Linked DNA regions of Danio rerio. The protein of the gene in region 2 purifies or fractionates together with the protein of the main gene of each other region. This does not show direct contact. Links are inferred from orthologs where the notes say so. Each region holds a gene or a part of one and is shown on either strand. Other genes may lie near its edges.

Evidence for each region. Proteins that work in one complex are often made in the same cells at the same time.
Region 1: the proteins of polr2j (region 2) and rprd1b purify together in Homo sapiens (affinity purification with mass spectrometry; 3 studies listed by BioGRID and IntAct, counting the BioPlex papers as one, with this or other methods). This does not show direct contact. The link is inferred for Danio rerio from reciprocal best matches to the Homo sapiens genes POLR2J and RPRD1B.
Region 3: the proteins of polr2j (region 2) and dnaaf10 purify together in Homo sapiens (affinity purification with mass spectrometry; 3 studies listed by BioGRID and IntAct, with this or other methods). This does not show direct contact. The link is inferred for Danio rerio from reciprocal best matches to the Homo sapiens genes POLR2J and DNAAF10.

The regions. Positions count from the first base shown.
Region 1 is NC_133198.1:46,861,823-46,865,401, reverse strand, and holds part of rprd1b (regulation of nuclear pre-mRNA domain-containing protein 1B), read left to right. Parts: intron 1-127; 5' UTR 128-155; coding exon 156-306; intron 307-3,091; coding exon 3,092-3,221; intron 3,222-3,579. UniProt on the Homo sapiens protein: Interacts with phosphorylated C-terminal heptapeptide repeat domain (CTD) of the largest RNA polymerase II subunit POLR2A, and participates in dephosphorylation of the CTD by RPAP2. Transcriptional regulator which enhances expression of CCND1.
Region 2 is NC_133180.1:67,353,680-67,358,053, forward strand, and holds the start of polr2j (DNA-directed RNA polymerase II subunit RPB11-a), read left to right. Parts: upstream 1-1,536; 5' UTR 1,537-1,572; coding exon 1,573-1,625; intron 1,626-3,459; coding exon 3,460-3,549; intron 3,550-3,809; coding exon 3,810-3,984; exon of another isoform or gene 3,985-4,374. UniProt on the Homo sapiens protein: Core component of RNA polymerase II (Pol II), a DNA-dependent RNA polymerase which synthesizes mRNA precursors and many functional non-coding RNAs using the four ribonucleoside triphosphates as substrates.
Region 3 is NC_133188.1:1,040,916-1,044,418, forward strand, and holds part of dnaaf10 (dynein axonemal assembly factor 10), read left to right. Parts: intron 1-780; coding exon 781-881; intron 882-968; coding exon 969-1,099; intron 1,100-1,764; coding exon 1,765-1,866; intron 1,867-3,114; coding exon 3,115-3,230; intron 3,231-3,483; coding exon 3,484-3,503. UniProt on the Homo sapiens protein: Key assembly factor specifically required for the stability of axonemal dynein heavy chains in cytoplasm.

The sequences.
Region 1 (3,579 bases), on a different chromosome or scaffold from region 2:
GCGTGTACGCTTTGACTATTGAGCTTCACTTTCTTTTCCATAGTTTGATATCAACTTTTGACCTTGTGTTTCCCCTTATGTTAAATGCATCTTATGTTAATGATCAGGTCTGTTGTGCTGTTTTCAGGGTTGTTTGGTGAGCGCGAGCGGTCAGCATGTCGTCTTTCTCCGAGTCTGCGCTGGAGAAGAAACTGTCTGAACTGAGTAACTCCCAGCAGAGCGTCCAGACTCTGTCTCTGTGGATCATTCACCATCGCAAACATGCAGCGCTCATCGTGCGCGTCTGGCACAGAGAGCTGAAGAAGGGTGAGAGAGACACTCATTCACTGAAGCTTAACCCGGGTCAAAAATGGCCCATATACTTACTTTTCTAAAATGACCTTAAACATTTATTGTACATTGTCTTTTTTCATGAAGGCTGTGCACATTTAGAGTACAACAGTTGTCCTTTGGGTCTATTTTGACCCGCCAGCTATAAAAAAACTTTTACTCCACAGAAACTACTAGCACACACTACAACACACACACACAGAGTAGCTATGTTTCCATCCACATATTTCTATGCAAAGTTTGGATATGTGCATAAAAACACTGGTTAATGCAAACACCAAGAGGCACATACATTTTGAAAATGCGAATAAAAAACCTTTGCGCATAACTAAGTCGAATTAACTTTTATTTGATACGAAAAGATGCGCAATAAACTAAGATGGAAACGATTTTATGTGCATAAAAAAGTCATGTGATTTTGATATATGAGATCATGTGATGATAAAAACGTGTGTGAATGGACAAACCATCAGGCGGAGCACATTGTAAAACATCTGAAATGTTGTTTTGGTCATTCTAAAATGCCCTAACCATCTCAGTATTAGCGTTATTATATTATTAACCCTTGTATGGTGTTCGGGTCTGTGAGACCCTTTTCGTTTTTTTTTTTATTTTTTTTTTTTTATTAAACAATGAATTATTTTTTCAACCTGAAGTTCTTTGGCTTTGGCCTATTTTCTGTGAAGATCATAATTCCGAACAAATTTTCAATGACCGCATAATGTACCTCCACCCAGACATTTACATTACATACAAGGTGTTCGGGTTCACTAGACCCAGGTATAATAAGGGTGCTTTCACACCTACACTTTTGTTTCGGAACCTGTCTTGTTTGCCCAGTTAGTGCGGTTCGTTTAGCATATGTGAATCCACCAATCGCTCTCGAGTCCGCGCCAAATCAATCGCTCCGAGATCGCTTAAGTGAGGTGGTCTCGGCTCGATTGAAACGAACTCTGGAGCGGTTCGATTGCAGTGAGAAAGCGATCCGATCCGAGCGCGGTTATATCACAGTGTTTTATGGATATGTAATAGGCTTACGGCTATATGAAGAGAGAATTATGAGTATGGCGGGAACTTTTGCGAGTCTCCGGATGCCCGCAAACGAGTGATGATCTCCTGGCAATCTCGCATCTCCCTCCCGGTCCTCAAATAGGCTACGTCGCGCACCCTTCTCACCCCTCCCCACCTCATCTCTCCTTACTCTTCAGACACGTCGCGCGCACCCTGTCAAACACCACCAAACCACCACCTCTCCTGACAGCTGAGCGGGACGCTGCAAAATAAACCCTGACACTCTGACCAATGTGAGGAGAGTTTACTCGCACGTGACTTGTTTTAGCTCTTTTGGTCCGATTAGTAACTTTGCAGTGTGAAAGTGAACCGCTCCAAGAGCAAAGAGCAACAATGTAACAATTGTAATCCTTGTTTAGAACAACTGAATCGATTCACAGGTGTGAAAGCACTCATATCCTGTCCCATCTGCGAATTAGGGGCATAGTACTATAAATAAGACTTTGCCAGTGTGGTTCCTTATCAAAACTGATCAAGATGGCCAAAAGATTATCTGCTGCGAAGGCCTTGCAATTGATTGTGGAAGAGAGAGAGGAGCTTCGGATGATGATGTCCATGACCATTGTGGGAACAATACAAAAAAAAATCTGTTGGTTTTAAAAAAAAAAAAAAAACGAGAAGCACATTAATTCATCAGTATGATCTAACAAAGGTAAATGGCAAAAATTAACCATGTTTGCTGTGCATATGGCTTGTAATTGGGATTAAGTAAGCATTTGTTGAGTAGTTTAACGTCTCCTCCGACGGCCCGCACTCATATAGCATTCACGCCTGAGCACGCTTACGTCATCGATGATGCGCTCTTTAGTTTAACAGAAGAGAAGCACTCTGGGGAGCTCAGTGGTGGTTGCTTTAGTTATTGCATTAAATGGTTCGATATGCAGTGACACACAGTCAAATATTTCGCCTTATTTCGACTTAAAAGTCTTCGTGCGTCACGTATTAAAAGGTTTGCTGGAGGTGCAACTGTCGTGCAGTGAGGGGTTTAATAATCTACAATAGTTTGTGTTCATTAAACAGTAAGAATGATTGATAAATCCATATGAAACAGTCCCGTAAAAGTCATGTCTCGTCTTCAGTTTGGAGCTCAGGCGCACTTTGCACTCGCACTGTAAGCCCAAATGAACTGCGCTCTAGCACACCTCTTCCATCCGGGCCAGGGCTGGCCAACTGAATCATGCCTAAGGCCGATTCAGAACACTCACACTTTTCAAACGATCCGGGAAACGGGCCTGGCATGGTTCAGATACACCCATACTCTCTCACATTCATATACTCGTATACTACAGCCAATTGAGCTTGTTCAATTCCCTTATACCACATGTGCTTGGACTTGTGGGGGAAACCGGAGTACCCCGGGGAAACCCATGCCAACACGGGGAGAACATGCAAACTCCACACAGAAACGCCAACTGACCCAGCCGGGACTCGAATCAGCGACCTTTTTGCTGTGAGGAGACAGTGCTAACCACTATGCCGCCATAATTATCATCAATCAAGCTAAAAGATTGTGTTTGACTCTGTTCAGTCAGTGTTGGTGTTTTTTTGTACAATGAACGTTTATTAAGAAGAAACCGATATGATTGCATGTTATATATTGTATATTTAGTGTGGGTTTAGCTAATGCTGCTTATATGGCATTAAAACACTAATAAATAAAGGTAATAGTGATGATGTGTTTGTTTTTCAGCTAAAAGCAGCAGGAAGTTGACGTTCTTGTATCTGGCCAATGATGTGATTCAGAACAGTAAGAAAAAGGGTCCAGAGTTCGCAAAAGACTTCGAAGGCGTCCTGATTGATGCCTGTTCACACGTGGCCAGGTAAACAAACCCTCATTAATGCTTTTTGTTGTTCGTTTTCAAAAGCATAGATATAGTTGAAGTTATTCGCCCTCCTGTGCATTTTTCTCAAGTATTTCCCAAATGATGTTTAACAAATTCAGGAGTTTTTCACAGTATGTCAGATAATATTTATCCTCTAGAGAAAGTCTTGTTTGTTTTATTTCAGCTTGAAAAAAAGCAGTTTTTAATTGATTTAACGCCATTTTAAGGTCAAACTGATTAACCCCTTTAAACAATATTTATTTTGGCTTGTCTCTAGAACAAATCACTGTTATACAATGACTTGCCTGATTACCCTAACTTTACCCTAATTAACCTTGTTAAGCCTTTAAATGCC
Region 2 (4,374 bases):
ACATGCAGAAACGCCAACTGACCCACCTGAGGCTCGAACCAGCTACTTTCTTGCTGTGAGGCGATAGCACTGCCTACTGCGCCACAGCATCGTCTTCACTGTAAAATATAATAATTAGAATATTTGCTTCAAATACATTTATTTAAAAAATTCTATACTTAGATAAAAGGAAATTATATATCCATTAAATAATATCCATTAAATAGTTGTTAAACAGTAAGTTGCATCATTTGGATCTTTGAAAGGCCATTGAAAGAGCAAAGATAATATATCTTGTTTTATTTTTATTTATTTTTTTACATATTTGCGGATATTGCAATGAAAACTGGAAATGTCATTTTAAAAATACTATCTTGTTACCTAAATTACTTCATAGAGGTAATTTGTTCAGTGCAAAATTTCTGATATTTGTTAAGTTGAGGGAGTTTGATAAGTTTCTTTGAGCTATTAGCATGTACAGCGTGTGGCTCAATTTCATTTACATGCAAATATTATGCTAGAAATTCAGTCCTGTTACTTTCAGTCCTGTTACTTATAAGAGTTACAGGAATGAGTAACAATAATGAAAAGCATCTTCTGATACTTAATAGAATGAACAGTTTTTATTATATTATTCATCTGATTTCCACACGTTATGGATGGAAATGTTGAAGTTGTAAGATATTTAAAGGAATAGTTTTCTCAGAAATGACAGTTCCACTACATGACACACACACACACACACACACACACACACACACTCTCTCTCTCTCTTTTCACTTACTGATTTGGTTTTCTTGTGAAAACTTTTTTTCCCTACAATTTACTCAGTTAAGTTCTGTACATCATATACTTAAATGTTAAGTAAATTATGTTATAAAAAACATGAATTTCAGGCCACAGTTTTCTTGAAAAAAGGGAAAGTGCCTTTGCATTCCTATAAAAATACATTTTTTTATGTAAATCGTGATTTTTTAAATACAAAAATCAAATGTTTGAAAGTGTAACAAACCATATTTTAAAAAGAAAATCACTTTCTTAAGAGGAAAACAAAGTAATTACCTGATAGACTTTTATTCATGCTTTTTAAAAGACTCGTTAGTTTGGGTAATATGACTGAAAAATGCATTCATCTGCCACATAATACCTTGTAAAAACTCAAATTAAGTCATTTTATGTGGACCAATACATATTTTGAAAAGTTAAGTATGTGTGTTATTAGATTCCGCCTTGAAAAGTAATTAAAAGAAGTTTAATTGTAAAGAGTTACAATAAGCAAAATGCATCCATTCGGTGGAATGGTCAATAATTACTCCCATGCTAATCACCATACTCAACTTTTACAAGCGATGGTCAAAATTAGATATATAATCCAACCATTTTGACCCAAAGTGTATTAAAAGACTCATAATAAAGGTACCTCTTAACTCTGTCGTTGTGTTGAAAATACTACGACCAGACTACGACACAATACTGCCCCCGGTCGTTATTCACTCAATATTACCCTTTTTCCCATGTCTTCCCATGTCATGCGCATGCGCAGTACAACGTGCGTCCATTAGTAGCATCGTTCGCTGCTGGTTTTGAAGCAGGATGAACGCGCCACCAGCATTCGAGTCTTTTTTGCTGTTTGAGGGAGAAAAGAAGTAAGTGCACTATAAAGCTGTCTTTGCTATTCAATTATACTAACATATTATACTAGCCTATAATAAGAGTAAATATTCAGTTGGAAGACAGGAGGGAGATTCAAAAGGCTTTAGCTTGTTGGCTAACGACAGGTTACGTTAGTCAGTCCATCTGAAAACAAAATACAACCTACTTCTGTTTACAGAGTGCTTTATACAATACAGCTTAAATCATATCGACGATTGATTCATTCACTATTTAAGTTTATTGTTCATTATTTTTGTATAAACGAATACAATTTCAGATGCTAAGCTGTTTGAATAAGACATGTAATACCAACATTTAGCTCAATTAAGTTTAAGTTGGTTAAGTGACCTTGTGAATCTAAATAAAAGTATTCGTTTTTAGACGTACTTTAGGTCATGATACCATGACATTTTTTGAATACCATGTAAATACCATAGTACATGTACAGTAATTGGTCTCAGCATCAAATTAAATAACAGAGGTAATACGTAACGTTAACATATAAAATTTATGCAAATAAGGTGTGCTTTAATGTTTTAAATAACTTTTAACTATAAAAATAAGATTGTCAAAAATATTAGTAAAATAACCTTCCATATAAATATGAATATATTTTTTAAAAAGTAAACCTTTATTGTAATCTACATTGATTAAAATATGCAGTAGTAAGTGCTTAAACTAAATTGTTTTGCCTTGTAAATGCCTCTTTCTGACAGATATGCTTGACAAATTTAAGTAAAATTGGTTTTGTATTCGCACATTTGGACTTTCTCCTTAATATAATTTCAGAAAAGTTTTATTTGCAAATTCTGAATAGAGAAATCATTAGCAGCCAATGACTATCAAAGTACAACATTGTTCAGTCAGGTAAATAGTACTTATGTTTTTGAGAAGTCATATTTGCAGGCTATTTTAGACTGAATATTCAAAGCAGTGTGATAAACAATATATGCACAGTGTTACAAGGTTTCACTGTTCAAAAATTACCAAATGTCTGAATATAAAACCAACTTTACCTCAATGCTTGACAATACTTTTTGGCATAAAAAAATATTTTTGCACTGAATGACATTTAAGTGAGCATCTTCTCTTAATAAGGGTTAAAATTATAGTAGGATAAAAAGATGATAAATATGATGATAAAGCTTATTATATTTTGTATATTTACCTAGAAAAACATTTTTCATCTCTGATCTACTTAACAAAGTGACATATTACTGCCAACATTGTACCATGATACCACAGGGTCTGCGGGGTCTTAAGAACTATTAAAAGTTGATTAATCAATGTAGAGAAATGTAAGGCCCTTAAAAAGTATTTTAAAATCCTAAATGCTATTTTGCAAGGTGTTAAATTTTATATAATTTTGATTGTGCAATGTAGGTATGGTTGTATGCTAAAGTTTGCCTGAATTAAATCTAAATGTCAGGATGCTGTGTAGTTTATGAAATCAATGAAATCCTGCTAGATTTGACATCATGCAGTTTTGTTTACTGCAGTTATCAAGGAAAAACCATTATTTCTGCAGTTCTATAGGCACCAACCTGCTGAATTAGCTATATTTAATAGATTTTAATTCAATATAATTATGTATATCAATATGTAAGTTTTTTACATTAATATTTAATAAATATACTGTAAGTTAAAATCTCTTTATTGTTTCCGATTGAAATCTTAAGTGATAATAAGGTCTTAAGGTCTTGTATGGAGAGAGTCTTAAAGGTATTGAAATTCACTCTCTGGTTCCTGTATATACTCTGTACCAAAACATTACTATTTTTAAAAGTAAGGGATTGCCTAAAATTTCTGTTCAACTTCTTTTTACAGGATCACAATAACCAAAGACACCAAGGTGCCGAATGCATGTCTGTTTACTCTAAATAAAGAGGATCACACACTGGGAAACATCATCCGATCGTAAGAGACCAAACTTTTGATACACTAAAACATTTTCAGATATTTATGTGGGTTTTGTAATCATCCTATATTTACATTAGAGCAATTCCATGCAAATGTCAACCTTGTCATGAAAAAGATTAGGTTTTAACTCTGTGGTTAGTTGTTTTGGAAAATATAAACAGATGTTTCAGTATAATGTTAACACATACTTTCTCTGTGAATGTGTTTTGAGATCTTACTGCAAATGTCACATTTGTAACATTGGAATTGCTCATTAGGCAGTTGCTGAAGGACCCCCAGGTGCTGTTTGCTGGATATAAGGTTCCTCATCCTCTGGAGCATAAGGTTGTGATCCGCGTTCAGACGACACCAGACTACAGTCCTCAGGAAGCCTTCACTAATGCCATCACGGATCTGATCAGTGAGCTGTCCCTGCTGGAGGAGCGATTTAGGGTATGTTCATGTGTTTGCATTGAGTAAAAAATGATTCCAGAACAAGCGCTCCTGAAAAAAATGCACTCTATAGCAGCACTGCAAAAGACAATTGAGGTAAAGTTGGTTTTGTATTCACACATTCAGACGTTCTACTTAATATTATAATTTCAGAAAAGTATTATTTGCAAATTCTAAATAGGGAAATCATATCAGCGTCCAATGGCTTTCAAAATGCAACATTGTTCATGATCAGTTAAATGGTGCTAATGTTGTTTTAAAGGGCACCTATGGTAACAAATCTACTTTTCAAGCTGTTTGGAAAGACGTGTGTAAGTAAAGTGTATACACCGTCATATTGGGGTGATATAAACACACCCAGTGTTTTTTTTTTTTTTTTTTCTTCAATTT
Region 3 (3,503 bases), on a different chromosome or scaffold from region 2:
ATATCTTATATCTTACTAAGAGTATTTACTGGGTATGTACGATGTATAATTCAAAATGAAACTTATCTAACATGTAATTAAGTAGCTATTTGGGATGAGCCATATTTTTCAGCAATCAACATCAGAAACGAAAGAATTCCAATAAAAAGTCACATTTGAAACTGACACAATTCCATGAAGAAATAAAGATCGTATTGATTTGTTTGAAGAAGCTGCAGAGAAACAAAATTTTCCTACCATTGTAGTAGATTGCAGAAACACTTTGATTGACATTCTCCCTTTGTACGTGTCATCAAAGGGGGGAAGCCCCGCCCACTAGTGCCCATCTCTCCTTCATTAACGTAAACAGCAGCCCTGAGTGAGAAGCAGCCGTCTGTCCATTAACCAATAGAGTTATTATAGTTAATGAAAAACAAAACAATCATTTACGTTTACTTGAAATAAAAATAAAAAACAAACGTTTATAAAAAACAAAAACGGACTGAAACTGTAATGTGAACACATTAAACTGACTGAAACTAACCATTCGTTTTCGTCTTTGTGAATGTATTTAATACATAAGCCTACTGTAAGCCTTTTAGAAGTGAATATTTACTTCGCGCTGCAGGTGTTTGACCCGTACAGCACCTCAGAATCTGTAATACTGCTGCCATTGGCCAGATCAAGCCTGTCCTTCTCCAGTCATCCTCACTATTGCTCCTGTGACAAAAACAATATACATATTGATATGATGTATTGTGCATTATTGATGTTTAATAAACATACTTTTCAATATTCTAGATAGAAAAATCCAAGCCAATCAAGTGTGGGACGTTTGGAGCCACGTCTCTCCAGCAGAGGCATCTGGCCACCGGAGACTTTGACGGAAATCTTAACGTTTGGTAGGAGCCCGCTGGATGTGGTTATGTTTGTGGTTATCTATTATGTTGTTATTTAAAGTGCAGTATTGCGTAATCTTTGCTCTTCAGGAATCTGGAAGTGCCCGACAGCCCGGTGTACTCAGTTAAAGCACACAAGGAGATCATAAACGCCATTGACGGAGTGGGAGGACTGGGCATCGGGGACGGGGCTCCAGAGATCGTCACTGGAAGTAGAGACGGTAAATAGGCGGATTTCTGCAGACGAGAAATCGCATGCAAATGTCAACAAAGCTTTCACCCTTTCTAAGTGTTTTGCAATTGTGTAAACTACTCAAAAATGTCTCTGTCGGTGTTTTCAAACTATTATTTTTGATTTACCAAAGCCAATTTCACATCTGTCTCATGCATAACAGAGAGACGTCACATCCATAACCAAGCTTTTTCCTCATACATGCAAAAATGTCATGTAAAATAAAATCAATCATGTTTGTTCTACCGTATATTGAGACAACTCTTCTCCTTTTGATTAGCATTCTTTCTTTTGGGTTGTGCAGTTTAATTCACTGAATGTCTACAAAGCATGTTGTATTCTGTAAACTCGCAGACTTTTTTTGGTCACATCCATAATGCATGATTATTTCCCTCATTAAAAATATAAAATATGTTTACAGATTGCTATTTGTCTGATCTCATAACTCTTTAGTGAGTTGTTTTGGTACACATAAACAGATGTTTCGATATAATGTTCACATATACTTACTCTGTGAATTTATATTTCGAGTTTTTACTGCAAATGTCACAACCATAACGCTGGAATTGCTCTGATACACATATTTATAGAAAACTGACTGCGCTTAGAAATGTTTGCGCTTCGGATTTTGATTGCGTGTGGTTTTATTAATAGGCACAGTGAAGGTGTGGGACTCCCGGCAGAAAGACACGCCGGTGGTCAACATGGAGCCCACAGAGGGAGAAACCAAGAGGGACTGCTGGACGGTCGCTTTCGGTCTGTGATTGTTAATCTTGCGTTACACACACACACAAGAGTTAGTTCATGAGTTAATGTTTTATTCTTTTTCAGAGTTTTACGTTTGTTTGCCCTTCTTTCTTTTCTTTTTTTACCAACAAATTAGAAATGGTCATACAAATCTTTTAAAGCTCGTCTGTTTAAGTGGTCATCAACTGGTTTTGTTATCGACAGGACTCATATTTTCCCGGTTTTCTTTTTCCAATTTTCCCCAAATGATGTTGAACAGATTCAGTGTTTCCTCTAATATTTGGTCTTCTAAAGAAAGTCTGATTTGTTTTATTTCAGCTAGAATAAAAGCAGTTTTTAATAGTTTTAAAGTCATTTTAAGGTCAATATTATTCGCCCCTTCAGCAATATTAGTTTTGGATTGTGTGCAGAAATCAATTCAATTCAGCTTTATTTGTACAGCGCTTTTACAATGTAGATCGTGTCAAAGCAGCTTCACATAAATGGTCATAGTAACTGGATCAGGGTGGTTCAGTTTTTACTGTTTAAGAACAAACCACTGTTATACAATGACTTGCCTAATTACTCTAACTTTACCCTAATTACCCTAGTGAAGCCTTTACATGCACTTTAAGCTGAATACTACTGTCTTGAAGAATATCTAGTCTAATATTATGTGCTGTCATCATGGAGAAGAGGAAAGAATTCAGGATTTGATAACCCTGGCCTCCTTTACACCTTATTTATTTACACTTATTAAGATTCAGTTTAATTAATTTAATCACAATCTCAAGTCTGGACACGCATTTGAGCCAGTTCACACGCTCACACACCACAGCTTTTATTTCTCACGCTTAAAAGTCACCGGTCCCTCCAATATTGACTGAAGATCAGCATTGGGTTTTCTTTCTTTTTATGTGTATTTTCAGGGTTTCTGCAAGTTTCACCAAGTCAAATTTAAGCCTTTTCAAGAGCATCAATAATGAAATTTCAGACTTGTATAGGGGTAAACACTACTGATGTTTAAAAACATTTAAAAACTGTAATTACTATTGTTTAATTAATTATTTCTTAGCCGCATATTTCATATAATGTGCCTCTAGTTCTATACATACTGTTTTTTCAACAAAAACTCTTTAAATCTTAGGAAACTAAAGGCATGCACAACAGACTGTTATAATATTAGTTATAAACAGAGATTTACTAAATGTTTTGTATGTGTTCTGACTAAAAAACACAGAGTAAATCTCACACTTTGCCTTGCTTTTTTTCCTCTAGGTCATGCTTTCAATGATCAAGACCGCTGTGTGTGCGCTGGATATGATAACGGCGACATCAAGCTGTTCGATCTTAGAAACATGTCTTTACGATGGGAGAAGAACATCAGAAATGGGGTGAGTGTTTATAATATTCAGTGCACATTTTTAAAGGCCTCCCAACAACAGTGGATGCATTTAAACAGAATTATGAAAATATATTATTATTATTATTATTATTTCCCAGAGATGGGAAAAGGCTGGAAGGGCATCCTCTGTGTAAAAGATATGCTGGATAAGTTGGCGGTTCATTCCACTGTGGCGACCCCTGATTAATAAAGGGACTAAGCTGAAAAGAAAATGAATGAATTATTATTGTTGTCTTTTCCAGGTGTGCTCTGTTGAATTCGA